2 linked regions of the Caenorhabditis elegans genome follow. The protein of the gene in region 2 interacts with the protein of the main gene of each other region in a pairwise test. Each region holds a gene or a part of one and is shown on either strand. Other genes may lie near its edges.

The links. Proteins that work in one complex are often made in the same cells at the same time.
Region 1: the proteins of memb-2 (region 2) and vps-52 interact in a two-hybrid assay, tested with the Caenorhabditis elegans proteins (one study listed by BioGRID).

The regions. Positions count from the first base shown.
Region 1 is NC_003284.9:7,561,963-7,571,372, forward strand, and holds vps-52 (Vacuolar protein sorting-associated protein 52 homolog), read left to right. Parts: upstream 1-3,360; 5' UTR 3,361-3,368; coding exon 3,369-3,525; intron 3,526-3,567; coding exon 3,568-3,686; intron 3,687-3,748; coding exon 3,749-3,844; intron 3,845-3,886; coding exon 3,887-4,117; intron 4,118-4,171; coding exon 4,172-4,405; intron 4,406-4,455; coding exon 4,456-4,662; intron 4,663-4,712; coding exon 4,713-4,838; intron 4,839-4,947; coding exon 4,948-5,229; intron 5,230-5,277; coding exon 5,278-5,668; intron 5,669-5,715; coding exon 5,716-5,834; intron 5,835-5,886; coding exon 5,887-6,033; 3' UTR 6,034-6,183; downstream 6,184-9,410. Other genes in the region: sto-1 (Stomatin-1), read left to right, coding at 929-1,022, 1,328-1,428, 1,476-1,628, 1,680-1,754, 1,801-2,064, 2,138-2,256, 2,305-2,491; Apyrase apy-1, read right to left, coding at 6,306-6,419, 6,501-7,019, 7,094-7,208, 7,277-7,341, 7,458-7,601, 7,648-7,758; Zinc finger protein unc-98, read right to left, coding at 8,678-9,010. UniProt on the Caenorhabditis elegans protein: Acts as a component of the GARP complex that is involved in retrograde transport from early and late endosomes to the trans-Golgi network (TGN). The GARP complex facilitates tethering as well as SNARE complex assembly at the Golgi.
Region 2 is NC_003283.11:5,615,500-5,622,617, forward strand, and holds memb-2 (Golgi SNAP receptor complex member 2), read right to left. Parts: upstream 3,703-7,118; 5' UTR 3,698-3,702; coding exon 3,570-3,697; intron 3,524-3,569; coding exon 3,326-3,523; intron 3,276-3,325; coding exon 3,188-3,275; intron 3,134-3,187; coding exon 3,029-3,133; intron 2,982-3,028; coding exon 2,850-2,981; 3' UTR 2,822-2,849; downstream 1-2,821. Other genes in the region: M03E7.3 (LITAF domain-containing protein), read left to right, coding at 587-682; M03E7.2 (uncharacterized protein), read left to right, coding at 2,212-2,267, 2,378-2,439, 2,490-2,740.

The DNA.
Region 1 (9,410 bases), on a different chromosome or scaffold from region 2:
ACGGTAAACATGAATCGACCTGCTCTTCCTTCCTGTTTGCCTCCACTCTGTTTGAAAATATTGTCAATTACATACATCACCTTAATTTTTGTTTTTTTATTTTAATATTATGAAATCAAAAAAATCTATACAGAAATAGAACTATCATAAAACCTATACTTTTTCACACATACACCTATACACCTGACGCATTTATATGACAGAACCAAACGCGAGCGAACGCAATTTCATAACATAAAATCACCTATTGCAAAGTTTTTTTTCACACTTTTAATTTCACCAATGACGCAGAGAATATTGTGCATTGGCGTCTAAAAAAACCTGGCTCATGTTATCACTCGATGCTTCTCCAACCACTAACATTTTGATTCTTGAAAAAGAACGTAATCTCTGACGTAAAATCACAAAAATAGTTATGTAATTTCATTTGATCACTCATTTTATTTTCACACCGTCCGGTACTCTCTGTATAAAAAAACCTCTCGTCAGATAATTTTACAATTTGAATATAAAACCATCTGTTCTAACAATTGAATCAGAATATGTCCTCTTAAGCTTGTACCTTTTTAATTAACGCTCCATAATTTTTGGCATTTTTCATCTGCTCTGCTCTTCCATCGCACCACTGATCGTTTCTAATTCAAAAATGCCTTTTTCCTACATCCTCTCACTAATTGCATTTTAGCAACCTACCCCCAAAAACAATCACACGAGTTATTTTCTCCTGTTACCAAGGAAAAAGGTCACAACATTAATCAGCTCAGTTCAGAGCCACCGGCTCTCTTTCCGCACCTGCCCTCCTCTCTCCTTCTATTCTTATTTCTCCCTTGCCCTTGTGTCTCTTCTGTGACGGCTCGCGTAGGCGGTCGCACAGTCCCCTTTCACCATAAATCACGCAATTGTGACCCCGTACCGTCCGTCTCTTATGATGCAGCCCTCAGAAACAGTTGAGATGCAGGAAATGGCTCAACCTTCCGGCCAGCAGCGCGATGTCGAAGCGAGAGTTCAATCGGCCCCAGCAAGTTGGTTTTTTTTTCGTTTTGTTTTATGTAGAACTTTAAGTCATCGTAAAACGAAAAAAGTTTCAGTATTTTTACTAGAATTTAAATGTTCAAAATTGTTGGAAAAATTACTGTCATATCAGCACGCTTTTATAATGTTTAGACTTTTGAAAAAAAAAAATTAGTCAAACTTTTGGTAATTTGTCAAATTTTTTGGTCAACTCCCAAAACGATGAGTAGAAAAAACTGAGTTAGTACCATTTTTTGGTTGTTAACAATAATAATACCAAATTTAAGAAAATTTAACAATTTTTTTATCTAATTAGACCATTCTCATGATGCTGGATGCACCGAGATGTTTTGCATTGCAATGTCCTACGTCCTTATCTTCCTCACGTTCCCCGTCTCTGTATTCATGTGCATAAAGGTAAATTTCTATCTACAAGAACGTATAAGGATGTATTTTTTCTTCAGATTGTTCAGGAATACCAACGTGCTGTAGTTTTCCGTTTGGGACGTCTTGTTCCTGACGTCAAAGGTCCCGGAATCTTCTTCATCATACCTTGTATTGATACTTTCTTGAATATCGATCTGCGTGTGGCATCGTACAATGTCCCTTCACAAGAGGTATGTTGCGCAACACACCTGCTCACTGTGATATAATCTTTCTCTCTTCAGATTCTGTCTCGCGATTCGGTTACCGTTTCTGTTGACGCAGTTGTCTACTTCAAGGTGTTTGACCCAATCACTTCGGTAAACTAAACAGCTGGTACGGTTCAATCTAATTTGGAATTTTTAGGTCGTCGGAGTTGGCAATGCGACCGACTCTACCAAACTTTTGGCTCAAACCACCCTCCGTACAATTCTCGGTACCCATACCCTTTCAGAAATTCTATCCGACCGTGAGAAAATCTCCGCCGACATGAAAATCTCGCTCGATGAAGCTACAGAGCCATGGGGAATCAAGGTTGAACGTGTCGAGCTTCGCGATGTCCGTCTTCCATCTCAAATGCAACGTGCTATGGCTGCTGAAGCCGAGGCTACTCGTGATGCTGGAGCAAAGGTGAGCCGACATGATGAGCATAGCAAAATGCGGGGGACCAATAATTATTAATTTCGATTGCAATTAATTTCAGATTATCGCTGCCGAAGGAGAATTAAGAGCATCTGCCGCTCTTGCTGAAGCCGCCACCATCATTTCAAAAAGCGAGGGAGCCATGCAGCTTCGATATCTGCACACACTCAATGCTATCAGGTAATGGAAGCGCACTATCAACTTTTAACTAACAAAATAAAATTTCAGTTCCGAGAAAACCAGCACAATCATCTTCCCGTTCCCAATGGAGATTCTCGGAGGAATCAGCAAGGTTGGTTCAGGAGGCACATCTCAGAACTTTCCAGTTCAAGAAATGATGAATGCCGCCCTTCAATCCATTCAACGTCAGGATACAGTTCCAGCCACCGCATCTTCCTCAGGAAGCCGACTCTGATTCCAAGCAACGCAAAATGAGCTACAGTTTCGTCAAAAAACAAAACAAGGATCAACTCGAAGCATATTGATAATCTCTTTCCTGTTTGAAGTATTTTTTTTTAACTATTAAACTGTATTATTCAACTGTATAACACTTAATATTTATACTCGATTTCCACCTCATTCACTTCCAAATTGCACATATCGGTTGTCAAGGCATATCTTTGAGAGGTTGTCTGAAAGACTTCCGATTTTGCTCCAAATTTTTTCAGTCATTTTTCTCATCATAATAATAATATATATATGATTCTCCACGTTCCATTGTATTTTTCAAGTGTATTTTTCCAAGAAAATGAAGGAAGCCATATAGTTTAGAAATTTGTCTAATTTTTTGTAAAACGGGAAATATTTGAATCGAAGGATTCAAAAAGTTTTGAGAAATTTTTTATTTCGAGCCTAATGCGCTGAAAACTAGGTTTTCACCAATTATTATGAAAGTCTTTGATCAGAAAAATTCATATTTTCACTTATTTTTTCACTAAACAAAAATCCAAATTTCAATATTGTTGGGGTTTGAAGATTTAATAGTGTTTTAGATTTCTCGTAGCGAATTGTCAAAAATATACCAAATAGATAAATTAAATTCTCTATAAAAATTCAAAAATCCACACATTCTCATTTTTCCAATTGTTCTGCATAACCTCCTTGGCGAGCATTTTCCTCGCCTTCCTCGCACACAAGCACACCATTATTCTAAACACCGCGCGGGGTGTAAAAAGCGGAGCATCGTTTAACGACGTGTTACCAATTGTTTTTTCTTTGGTTTATCGCTATTTTTTATTTATTAACGTTAGTTATTCATCAAAATTTTTATTGAAACAATTTCAGCACAAATAATGCCTCGAACACGTGTCAACTTGCAAAAATCCGAGGCAAATGACCGTAGTTTCACAATATCGTCGCTAGAATTTTGTTTATCGCAATTGCGAAAAGCAGATCCGAATTTGGTGAAAAAAGCAATTGCTTCTGGTGACGGACTAACCGAGTCGAAAAGTATGTCTCTAAATGTCAACATTTGAAAAATCAATAATTCAGACGACGTCAGCACGCGGCTATCGGAGGCACATCGTTATTCTGTTCAACAGTGTCTTGATAACTCTGAGCAGTTGGCTCAACTCCATAATCAACTTGTGCATTGTGATAATGTTTTTGAAGTAAGTATATTGTAAAAATTGCCAATATATAAATCAGTCGACTATTTAATTAAACTTTTTAGCGCTTGCAAGCAACATTGTACAGTTTTCAAGACAATCTAGGATCAATTGGGCAGGATATGAAAAATTTGCAGCTACAGTCGCATCATATTCATCAAGTAAATTAATTTTCCAATTTCAACGTACTATAATCTTCTCAGGAACTGGAAAACCGGCAAAAAGTTAGAGTCGAGCTGAGCCAATTTGTAGACGATATTGCTGTTTCTCAAACGATGATGAAAACTATCAACGACACTGATGCAAATGACAGGGGTTTTTTGGAAGCGCTCCACGAGTTACACCACAAAATAACCTTAATTTTGCAAAGGGGAAATGGAGATGCGGTAGCGGTAAACGACACTATGCCGATTTTGGAAGGACTAAAGCTTAAGGTTGGGTGTTTTTTTTTTTACAAAAGTTTACATTTCAAAAATGTTTTTTTTCAGGCGGTTGTAAAAGTGAGGGAATGGTTGCTTCAGAAAATGTTCCAATTCCGTAAACCTCTGTCCAACTACCAAGTTTTTCAACACCAGCTTCTCAAATGCCGATTTTTCTACGAATTCCTGTTGCACCATGACTTGATCTCTGCCAAGGAACTTCAAGACGAGTACATTGACACCATCAGCAAGATGTTCTTCACGTATTTCAAAGCATACGCCACACGCCTGTTCAAACTTGCGGTAGGTTGAGACACATTTTTCAAGTATATTCACCAGAGTAATTATTTAAGATGAAAGACGTGGCCACCAAAGAAGACGCTTTGGGAAGTATTGATTTTGCAAAACCCGCTGGATTAGGCGCAATTTTCTCGTCGAAACAACACGTTGTTCGGAATAAGGCAACCGTTTTTTCGATTGGGCAACGACATCAAATTCTCTCTGACGACTTTTTAGGAGCCTTGATTGTTCCCCACGCAGCTACGCAGAACCATCAATCGGTATACCTTACAATAGAACTGGTAGGGACCAAATTAAATTATATTTTCAGTATCAATTTGAAGCACTATTTCGTTCTATTCAACTGGCATTTGTCGATCACTACAGCCATGAGTACCTCTTTATTACCGACTTTTTCCTTGTCAGCAATGATGAAGCCATTGAACTGCATAACAAGGTATGTTACGAGGACCTGGAAAGACCTAATATCTATTACGTAGTAATGTTACATTTACAATAGTTGTTTGCCTTTTCACTACCGGAAAAAAGCTTATAATTGCTTTCAGGCTATGGCTCGAGCAATGTCAGTTGTGCTCAAAAGCTGCGAGGAGCAAATCGCCCTTAGTTGGGACGCCATCAGTCTTCATCTGTGCATTTGTCTATGTGACAAGTTTACCGAAGTGCTCGCCGAGAGAGAGGTACCAGAAGTTAGCGATTATTGGAATACTGTCACAAGCTTCCTTTGGACCCGCCTCAATTTGGTCATGTCTCAACACTACGAAAGTGTCAAATCTGTTGATTTGAAGAAGTTGATGCATAGCGGTTCACTTGATGCAAGACCGCATTTCGTAAGTTTTTGATTGTTTTTTATAATCAAAAAAATTCAGATGTTACAGATAGTCCGACGGTACGCCGAACTGACAAGTGCACATTTGATGATAGCAAAAGCAAGTGGAAAGGAAATGGGTGCAAAGATGGAAGCTGTCTTGGAGAACAGTGAAGACTCTATTGAACAACTATTGACTCGAATGTCAGCTATGCAGCAAACTCAGAAAAATAAGCACGTCTTTCTGATTAACAATTACGATCTTATTCTTTCGATTATCGATAACGAGGAAAGCAAGCATACAAAGATTTATGCAATTGTCCATGAGCTTGAACAAAAAAGTATTGATGATTTTGTTGAAGAGATGCTAGAGCCACATATTGGGTACATGATTAAATTTGTCAACGAGTGTGAATCTCTGATTGTTCAAGGTCATACACAACTCTTAGTTCGATATAATGGCAAGTTGTCATATATAATTTTCTATTCTCTAATATTTTAATTTCAGACAAAGTTGGAACGGTGGTAGCAAACTTCAATGCAAAGTGGAGACCTGCAGTGGACAGTATTAATTCAGAATGCATACAACTTTTCACTAACTTCAGCCTGGGAACCACCATTTTACAGGTTAAAATTTATTTCCTAGAGCCGAATTTCAGTTTTAACTAGATGATTTCAGACAATCTTCACAAAGTACGTTCAGTATATCAATAGATTCACAAAGATTCTGTCCCATGACGTATTTGCTAAAAATCCCGTGTGTTCCCAGTTAGTCAACGTTCATCAAGTGATGCTCGAAATCAAACGGTTCAAACCAGCATATTAAGAAAAATATTGCCAATGTTATTTTATTTTCCCGTGTAGACTTTGTAAATTAAATAATTTATTGATTCCCACTTACTTGAGTATTTTTTTATATATATTTTTACCCACTGGCAGCTTTATGCATGCAAAAAATGTTGAATAAAATGTTTATATATTTATTTTATTTAAATAACCATTACATAGTATTTGACAAAAATCACATAATATCGAGAACACAGATTTGGACCTGACTGGAAGGTGGGAATTGAGACAAAAATACATTAATTGAAGTGATTAGGCAAATGCAATTCCTTCGTATTTGTATGGACCATGAAGAAGATATTCGTCAAGAATAACATTACCATGAATGTCGAAAACACTTGCATAACTTGCTACTGGTTTTCCATCCTGGAATACAATTTTATAAACCGAGCATTGAGATTAACGGATTTTGTTTTTAAAATTGTGTAGATAAAACCTGTTACTTACCTTTTCCTCCGACTTGATGGCAACGATGAGCTGGTGATGAGTGTTTGGCACAAATTGGAAAGCAGCAAACCCTCTGGATTTGTTATTCTCCGATCCTACTCGCACAACCTCAAAATCAGTCAACTCTTCATTTCCAATCACAAGAACGTTTGTTCCGCGGTTCTCGTCCTCCGCCTCAGAATACTTCTCATTTGACATTCTACGTGGAAGGAAGAACCATTTTCTGTGAATTGCAGACCATTGAACAGCTTCGTGAATCATGTATCCGGGATATTCGATCCCAGCAGCTCTACGAACGCGGATATATACATCCTTCCAGTTTTCGTGATGAACGGCTCCGTGAGCAGAGACATGCTTCACCCACATTGGGTGATCGTTCACATAAACTCCGTCAGTGGTCGTCCATTCTTTTCCCAATCCTCCAACAATCAATTCGGTATCCTTAACAGTGATCCATTCTCCTTTAAATCCCTTCACGACGTTTCCTGGCCCATCGTTCAGTAATACCCAGGGAAGTGCCTTCAAAACAATATTATATTTTTTAAAAATCAATCCACTACACAAATATCATTGTTTAACCACTCATCACTCACCTTCTTGTCACTAATTTGATAAATAAGACCTGTTCTATCGTCAATTGAGTACAGTTTACCATTGAAGACGGCAAGGTCAGACAACTCCATAGCGCGTCCACCGGCGGCAATATTTCTAAAATGATGATTTTAGTAATGAAGTCAAAACAAAAAAATCTATAAAAACACATTTTGTAAACTTACGTGTCAACATAGTACTCCGAGTCTTTGTCAAAATGAATATCGGCATGCTTGTGGTCTGCAGAAACCTGAAATATAAATTTGAAAATTTCCTATAGCGATTCGAAAAAAGCAAGTTGCATTTTATAAAAATCATATTGGTCAAGCTGAGCATAATGCATTAGTTTCTTGCCGTCCTTCTCACCTTCAAAAATCCACGAGAGACCAAACTTTTCCACTTCTTCCCGTCTTTGCTGTCATGATCCAAATCGGTGATCAACATTATTGAGTATTCTTTTGCTCCATCATCAAACTTCTTTACCGAATACAAGTTAGCATGGTTGATGTGCTGTAAATGGATATGTGCGCAATCAGCTGAAAATGTAAAGAGTTACCTCTTCCTGTTCGCTAGATTTGTTGAATTGGGTACCCGAATAAAAGGCAATAGCGGTCACAAACCCGAAAAGAAGGAAGTTGAAAAAGTTTGAGTTACTTTCTTGTGTCATACCTAAAAATTATTTTTGTGAGTCTTAATTATAAGCATTAATTGAAAGTAAGAGATTTGAGAAAATATAAGTAGAATAAAAAAATAAAAAATGGTGTAGTTTTCCGAGAGTACTTCACGGCCGCGTGGCCTAGTTTTTTCAATGGGGACTCGATATTAATAACGAACACAAGTGCGTGTCCCAAATTGCATTTGCTTTATTGAGTGAGATATCGTGGCTGTGAAGTGGCAAAATATTTCGAGAACCGTTAATTAAACAATTTTATACATTTTTAAATAATGAATTCAAAATGATGCAAAATAAATTTAAAAAAACGTACAACTTCTAGAACAACGAACAATTGAGCTGTCTCGCTATCATCATCTTATCATTTTTGCTATCAAAAAATCGGTTGTGGGTTGTCGTAACACATCACAGAAGAAAGATTGATTGTGAGAGAGCCGGACAACATTTGTGCTAGCGGTCAATGTCTTTCCCGCTTAACATGGTCCCAATTGTACGATTGACCAGGAATCGATATTTCAGGGAAAGAAGAAAATACCAACAAGACATGACGAGAACAGTATTTATAGAGTGTGTCTGAGTGCGTTGGAAACACACGATTTTTGTGCTTTGTAGTCAATTGTAGTTTATGTTGAACACAAAACGAGTTTCTGCTGCTGACCGTCTTTATAACGAGCGTCTTAAAAATGTGAGGAAAAGACAAAATGACAAGAAATGAGAAAACGATAACACTAAAGAAAAACGTTGATTTAGTTGAAAGAAAGAAATATGAGTTATATGAAAGAACCATATCGAATATACATTTTGAAGGACAAATATTGTTAAAGCTAGCCGATGTTGAAATATATATATATTTTACAAGATCTGGATAGATTTAAATACTAAATTAGAAAAATTTTAAATACTCAGGGGTTGCTCAGAATCGCGGAGTCACGTATCCGCTTGTTCTTGGGAATAAATAGTAGCTTCTGGAATCAGTGTACCCAACTCCTTCCCTTCCCATCATATAACGAGATGCTCGAGGATTGAAGTACTTCTCTCCACGATGACTGTACATGTGATATGCAAGACCACGACTGTCAGAGTAGCTTTTCGAACAATATTCACAAATGTATGGTTTTGAACGAACGTCGTTGTACACTCGGAGTGGATGCTTCGGCTCGTATCCTTCAGTAACGAAAGCTGGCTGTGGAAGATCTTGCTCGGAGACCGGTAGGACTCGCTTCTTGCTTACTTTTATTGTGGTTGTCTGAAGTATTTCAAATTATATTGGTAATCTTCATTCTTCTCACAAATGTATTCCTTGTTAAAGTAAAAAAACGGTTTCGGCTTTTTTTCCGTGTGATTTTTAACAAAACCAAACGAACGAAATTTGAAATACTACTTCTCAAAAATTACTTAAAAACTTGTTTATGGGGGTTCAAAATTTTGAAAAGGCAATACCCAAATTTCAGTCAAAAACTCGAGTTGTTTCAATTTTTCCCAGTCACAAAGACTTAGGTAGCAAATTGTGGTAATTTTTGGTCCCTAATTGCTTGAAACGTATCTTCATTAACAAAACAACGTAAGGTAAACGACCAAAACATGTTTTTAAATTTGGAACTTTCTTCGGTTTCATAACTTCTGTTTCATAACGTTTTCTTTTTTTT
Region 2 (7,118 bases):
AAACAATTTTTGAAAAAAAAAACTACGACGGAAACAAATAATTGCCAGACGGCATCATATGTTCTCTATTAGTATTGCACCCCATGGCTCAACTTTGAAAGATTATATGTTTGTTCAGTTTGAAGATATCAATAAACAATTAATTACAAAACTATAGAAAATTAAAACATTATTTCTTCAGTTGACAATTTTTTTTATAAAACAAAGGACAGCCAAGATGAGAACATCCTAAGTAGAGCAATGGGCTGTAACTTGCCCAGCGCCTACCGTCACATTGCAATTTTGAGGCAGTTTTTGAGCTATTTCTAAACATACTTTTATTAAAAGTAGAGCTATTTTTAAAAACTTCAATTGTTTTCCTATATTTCTATATAAATTTCTGTTAAAAACCTTCGACACAACCATGAGATATAGAGGATTTTGCAAATGTGCCGCACATGCCTGAACCAGTGTACATAATTCGATATTATGATCTTCGCAATTATCATATTCATATTATATGATTACGTGATATGATATGCATATTCAAAATTCATATAGTTTTTTAAGAAAACTTATGAAAATTTTTAAATTTAAAATTTTTCAGCTTGTGGTAGATGACAAATCCCAATTGGAAATGCCACCGGTAGATGCAGCCGAAGTGAAGAAAAAGTTCGACGAAAATCTGCTTCAAAAAATTTAATAAATGAAATACAATTTTATCCATGACGTTTTTGCTTCGATATTCTTGTTTCCTCTGCACGTGTTGTTCTTTTTCTGTGGCGCTTAGAATCATCATCACTGAACAGGCAACGGCGTTCAGTGGAACTAGTTTGCACAACCAAATAAGCTGACTAACCCGTAGAAAGCGAAACGCAAATTCGGGGTATTACGCAAAAAAAAACAGAACTACAGAATTACATAAGAGGCACATAGTTCAACTGTGGGTGGCTTAATAAAACTAGAAATGGAGAAATGGGAGAAGCTGAAAAGAAACACGAAGATTACGGTATGACTCATGGTGCATCGTTTGAATTTATTTCTTTATGTTCGCCAAGTTATGTAGGTACAAATCAGAAACAGTAATAAAACCTTCATTGAATATGCCGGAAAGTTATTGTAGTTTTCTCAGAGGGTTGAATCAGATATTCACATTTTAATAACAATATTGGAAAATCATGGATCATAGAGAGAACAACTGACCATATTATGGGTGCGCGAAAAAACTTCGTTTGATAACGCTCCGCCCCTAAACTTTGTGTCTCGTTAGGTATTTGGCGGCAATACCAAATTCAAAATCTTTGGAACAACAATGACATTTTGAAATTTATAAAACTTTTTTCAATATTTTTTCTACCTTAAAATCATTTAAAAAAAAAAAAAAAAAAAAAAAAACGGAAAAAATAAAAAAGAAGGCAATACATATATTATGGGAACACAAAATTCTGAGAATGCGTATTGAGCAACATACTTGACGCGCAAAATATCTCATAGCGTAAACTACAGTAATTCTTTAAACGACTACTGTAGCGCTTGTGTTGATTTACGGGCTCGATTTTCGAAATGAAAATTAAGCAAAACATGAGAAAATAATAAGAAGAAACCAAAGGAAAATGGATTATCGATGTCACAATCGAGCCCGTAAATCGACACAAGAGCTACAGTTGTCATTTGAAGAATTACTGTAATTTTCGCTACGAGATATTCTGCGCGTCAAATATGTTGCGCAATACGCATTCTCAGAATTTTGTCTTTCCGTAATAAATATGATTGAAAAAATTTTGAATTTACAGCTTTACCGTCAAGACACAACGCGACCCAACGTTAATGGGTTACTAGAATTTAGTTTGAATATTCATGAATTTATTCAATTTAATTACTATACATTTTAAAGTAGAGATTCCATGGATTACAAGTGACATTGAACAATTCAAAGTTGAGGCTTTATTCCCTTTGAACTTCTTCATCTTCCTCCATCCACTCCCGTCTCATCTAATCCCAGAAGTGCAAGGTCTATGACAGCAGTAGCAGCAGCAGCCCGTCAATTTCGTTAACCGGTTGGATCATCTGCGCTTACTCGACCGAATATCTTCTGCTACCTTTTTTGGAGGAGAGAGAGAACAGTCACGCCCATCAGAGCATAACATTAAAAAGACCGACAAACTGGTGTTGTGCAGTCAATTGCTGCCTGATCCAAGTCTACATTCTCGTCTCGTCATTTTCAAAAATAAAATGCAATTATCCAGTGTTTTTTCTCTTGTATTCTCAAGCTTAATCGCGATTTCAAGGTAAGATTCTGTTTGAAATATTGCTTTTAAATGTTTTTATCTCAGAAAATTTGGTTAAATTCGAGAAATCGAAACACCTTTCCCCTGAACCTAGAAAATACAGTTTTCAGTGCTCTTCCAGCATCGTACTCCTCGTCACTCAATGATCCACTTCTGTCAAGCCTCGGGCTAGGTGAGATATTCTTTAAAAACAATTCACACTGCAATATTTTGGAATTTCAGGTTCCATGGGAATGGGCATGGGCGGCATGAATGGAATGTACGGAGGAATGCCACCACCGATGCCTCCACCCGGAATGAGCCCGTATGGAATGGGTGGAATGGGTGGAATGAGCCCATATGGAATGATGGGACCAATGGGTGGAATGGGAGGAATGAGCCCATACGGAGGAGGCATGTCACCATATGGAATGGGATCGATGGGCGGTATGGGATCATCAATGTCCTTCCCATTCATGGGTAAGAAGAAGTAACCTCTGAAAAATGTTGAATCTCTTTATTTATCTGTCGAAGAATCTCATATCACATGTTCGTCTTTCTTCTCCTTGTATAATAAAATTCCATTTAATTTATTTACATTGTTTAACAGTATTGCCACCAATAATAGAAGCAGAACATGAATATCAGGCAACAAATTACACCGATCATAAAGAGTTTCTTGTCTTCTCGCACACGCTTTTCGATGAGTCGAATTGTGGTATCAGATATTCCCAGCTGAAAGATTTTCATCTAATTTATTGAGCGAAACCAGATATACTTACGGATTTGGTCAGAAAATGGAATCGTTTTCGAATGCTCAGCAAGTTGTACTTCTGTTTTTGAAGATCCTCAAAGACGCTTGCACCTTGGGCTAGCATTTGATCGATCTGAAATTTAATATTTAATATTAATTTACATTTATCGATTTCACAAAAATTTACCATATTATCCGAGTATTTCAGTTTATCATTCAAGTTGAGCTCTTCGTCAAATTCCAGATTCACACGCGTTTCTTGATTTGTTGTAAACCTGGAAAGAGTTATTAAAAAAACTATAGATTATTTATTTTAATTACCAACCTCTGTTTCAGAAGTGCTTTCTTTTCTTCTGCTTGCTTCTTTCGATTAGTGTGACGATTTGTCATTGTTCTCAATGAATTTTTGATAAGACACACATCACTTTTCAATTGATCCATTTTGAACGAAGCTTTCTGTCTAACTGGAGCCGGTTCTCTGCCCAGTTGTGATTCCAGTCGAAACATGTGTGTTTCAGTTTTCCTAAAAAAAGATTCTTGTTGGAATTAAATAAAATTATCAGTTTTACATAAGACTACTATTTGCATCCTGAATTAATCGATCCACTTCGTGATTTCCCGTTTGACGTTCAATCGCAATCAAAAGTAGCTGAACATTGTCGATTTCTTCCCTAGTGGCCTTGAGTTGTGTATCCATCGACTCTAAAATATAAAAATAAAATTCTTCAAAGTGAAAGTACTCACTTTTAAAATTAAAAACAAGAAATGCCAGTGAATATTCAGAAAATACGAAATTAGAAAATAAAATCCACGATTTCTCAATGGCATGCCTATGTGACGTCAGCTTACGTTTTTTATGACGTGGAACGGAATCGTAGTTTTTAAAATAATTTTAATAATCATTTCTTTTAATTTGAAAGAAAATTATTAAATTGAAACGTTGAAAAATGATTTCGCTGAAAGATAAAATTTGAAAAAAAATTGCCTCGAAAAAATCTAGTGCAATTGCGCTCTATCGAACATTTGTTAGAGAGTGAGAGACGGCAGAAACCAAAAAGTACGGTAGTTTCTGATTTTTAGAGATTTCAAGTTGAAAAATTAAAATATAAAAATGAAAATGTGCGGATTTTTTCCGCGTTCTGGACATGGCATAACAAATTTGAATGAAGAATATGAGAATTCAAGGAGTATTCATCTGCATCGAAATTTTGAAGTTACAGTACCCTTTAAAGGCACACACCTTCCCGAATATAACAAAAATTAGTCGTTTCGAGACCGGGAACCGAATTATTCGACCTAAATTCGTAAAATTTTGCGTCTGGGTGAGAAAATCACTATTATCTAAATATTTGGGAAACTTTTATTGAAAATTTCATTACCCTTGAATATAATTCCTATTATTTTTTGAAACCTCCTTTTTTAATATAAAATCCCACATTTCCAATATTTAAGAATCAAAAATCCAACTCACAAATTTCCCGTCGAGAAACATGTTTACAACCAGCTATCAACACCCGAAATCCCCACGAGACGTGACCCGATAAAAGTTGAGAGGAGGGTTTATAATGAGCATTTTATGGTCCGGGTGCGTAGCAATGATCTGGCTCAATGGACGAAAAAAGAGCACAAAAAAGAGAGCAAGAATGAGATTGAGAGAAGGACGGGAAGCTTTTCGGTGAGCTTTCCGTCATTTTTTCCGAGTTTCCAAGTGTGCCTCATTTTTGGTGAAAAAAGAAAAAAAGTGTTTTTTTAGTTTTGTCTCTGACGTATGAGATATTCCATTTTATTTTTATATAAATAAATAAGTTAAGATCTTCGCGCAGAAAAGTAGAAAAAAAAGTGTTCGCGTTCTTAGAATGTATTGAAATTGCAAGCAATTTTCAAAAGAATGACTTTGAAAGTGCCAGGTAGGAAGTGTAGGCGACATTTTTTGTCTGATGTTTCATAATTTTTTTCTGCTTTGTAAAATTATTGGCTTTGTCGTTTTTCCAAATGTGTATTGAACCTAGTTTCCATAGCTCAAAATTACGGTTTTTTTTTTTGAAAATTAAAATTAGTTATTAAAAAATAATTTTAAAGTGATCTCTGAAATTTTTAGTCAGGTTTTCTAGACTTGAAATATAATATGAAAGTTGGAGTTCTGAAAATTGTTAAATATTTACCAAAATTGAAAATAAAATTGACGTTTTAAAGAAATTTTTGGAATTTCTATTAACTTCTGTGAAAATGTGAAACGTCACTTCGAAGGCACTAGCTGTTCGTCTGATAATGAAAGGGTCTCGCCACGAATTTAGCTTCTAACTATAACTATCAAGTTTTGCAAAACTTCTCATTAAAAGTGACAATTGAAATGTTAGAATTTTTTTTGAACGTTTTGTTTTCGAAATATATGTATAAGTTTTTTTGAAAAATAAGAATAATCGACTTTTTTACTAAATTTTAAAAATCTTGTATCCCTATTGTGCAAAAAGGCTCCCCGCAATCTATTTGCACTTGAATTTGTTACAAGAAAAATTATATTGTACTTCTGTTAAAAATTGTCACTTCACTTCAAAGGCACGCGCTGTTTTTGTGTGGGTCTTGCCACAACCTCAGCTACAGTAGTCGCTACAAATTTCAAGCTGTAAATACAGAGAAAACCAGAATTTATCAGATTTTTAGCACCTAAAATCATAAGCAAACTAATTTACCGTATTTCCTCTATTAGTCTTGCAGCCTCTATTGGAATTGCATGCAAGACTAATAGAGAGCATACGGTATTAGTCTTGCACCCCTATTCTAGGCAGACCAGCAGTATTTTGTGAAAACTTCAACAATTTCGCCATTTTATAGCTAAATTAAATTTTAAAGTGTTAAAATAATTGATAAAACAATAGAAAAGTATGTATTTTGCATGATTTAGACTGTTTCGAGTCAAATTTTTTACGATAAATGGCCAATTTTATAAAGCTATTGGATCTTCGAAAATTAGTCTTGCAGCCTCTAATAGTCTTGCAGTCTCTATTAGTCTTGCACCTCTACGGGTCAATTGAAACTTAGTCTTGCATGCAAGACTAATAGAGGAAATACGGTACAGATAAAAAAATTCAATTTCATTTTTCGACGTTTCATTCCGTTCCAAAATTTCCGGATTATAAAAACGGGAACCAGTTATTTAAAAAAATCGAAAAACCAAGTTACTCGGATTCTCTTGAATCCGGAAAAACTGGACGACGGGGGCCCGGTTTATTCCGGTTTACCAGTATTAGCTAAGATAAGTATTTTTAACAGTACGCCTTTTAAGATTACATCAAAAAAGTTATTTTTCACCAGTGGCAAAATTTGCGGTCCTACCTTTCCGAATTTCATTCCCAAAAATCTCGCAGCGCTTACGTCACCCGCCGGCGAAATATTCGTGTCACCTGCTAGACAGTAGTTGCTCAAACTTCCACTATTATGTTCTCTATTTCCATTTTTTTTGTCTTCAACTCTTCGTTACTAAATACGACCTTGCCTTCTTCTTCGCCTTCATCTTGGTTTTTTATTCTTGACTCCTTCTTCTTCTTTGCTTTTCCTTCACTTCCTGCCCTGTCTTGTTTCGCTCTCCTTTCGAAGTAAATACCCTCGGGAGGAGAGGTTCTTCTCTCCTTCTTCAGATGTGTCTGTTTTCTGTTTTTGTGTGTATGTATTTGGTGGTGGCGCATCAATTGCCATCGCTTGCTCTCGATTATTCTAATCCCTTTCGCGGGGGGTGAAATCGTTTCTTTTTCATTTTGAGTGGTGGTGGTGGTGGTGGACGAGTCGCGGGGTGCTCTGAAGTTTCTCCGAAAGAGAGACCCACAAGTTTTATTTTGAAACAAGTTGAGAGTCTTCAGAGTTGAGATTCTGTCCCATATACTGAATGGGCGCAAGTCCCCAGCGAGAGAGGTAGAACAACACCACCGACAACATCAGAGAGAAAGGATTGATGAGGTCAGTTAACTTTTTTGCAAATTTAAGGTAATTTAAGTGGGGAAATTATTTAAAACTGCCCATACAGTGAAAAATTTTCCAAATATCACAGTAAACGTTCAAATTTTTTTAATGAATTTATTTTTAATCTACGGTCAAAAAGTGGTGAAGTCTACCCAGTTTTTACT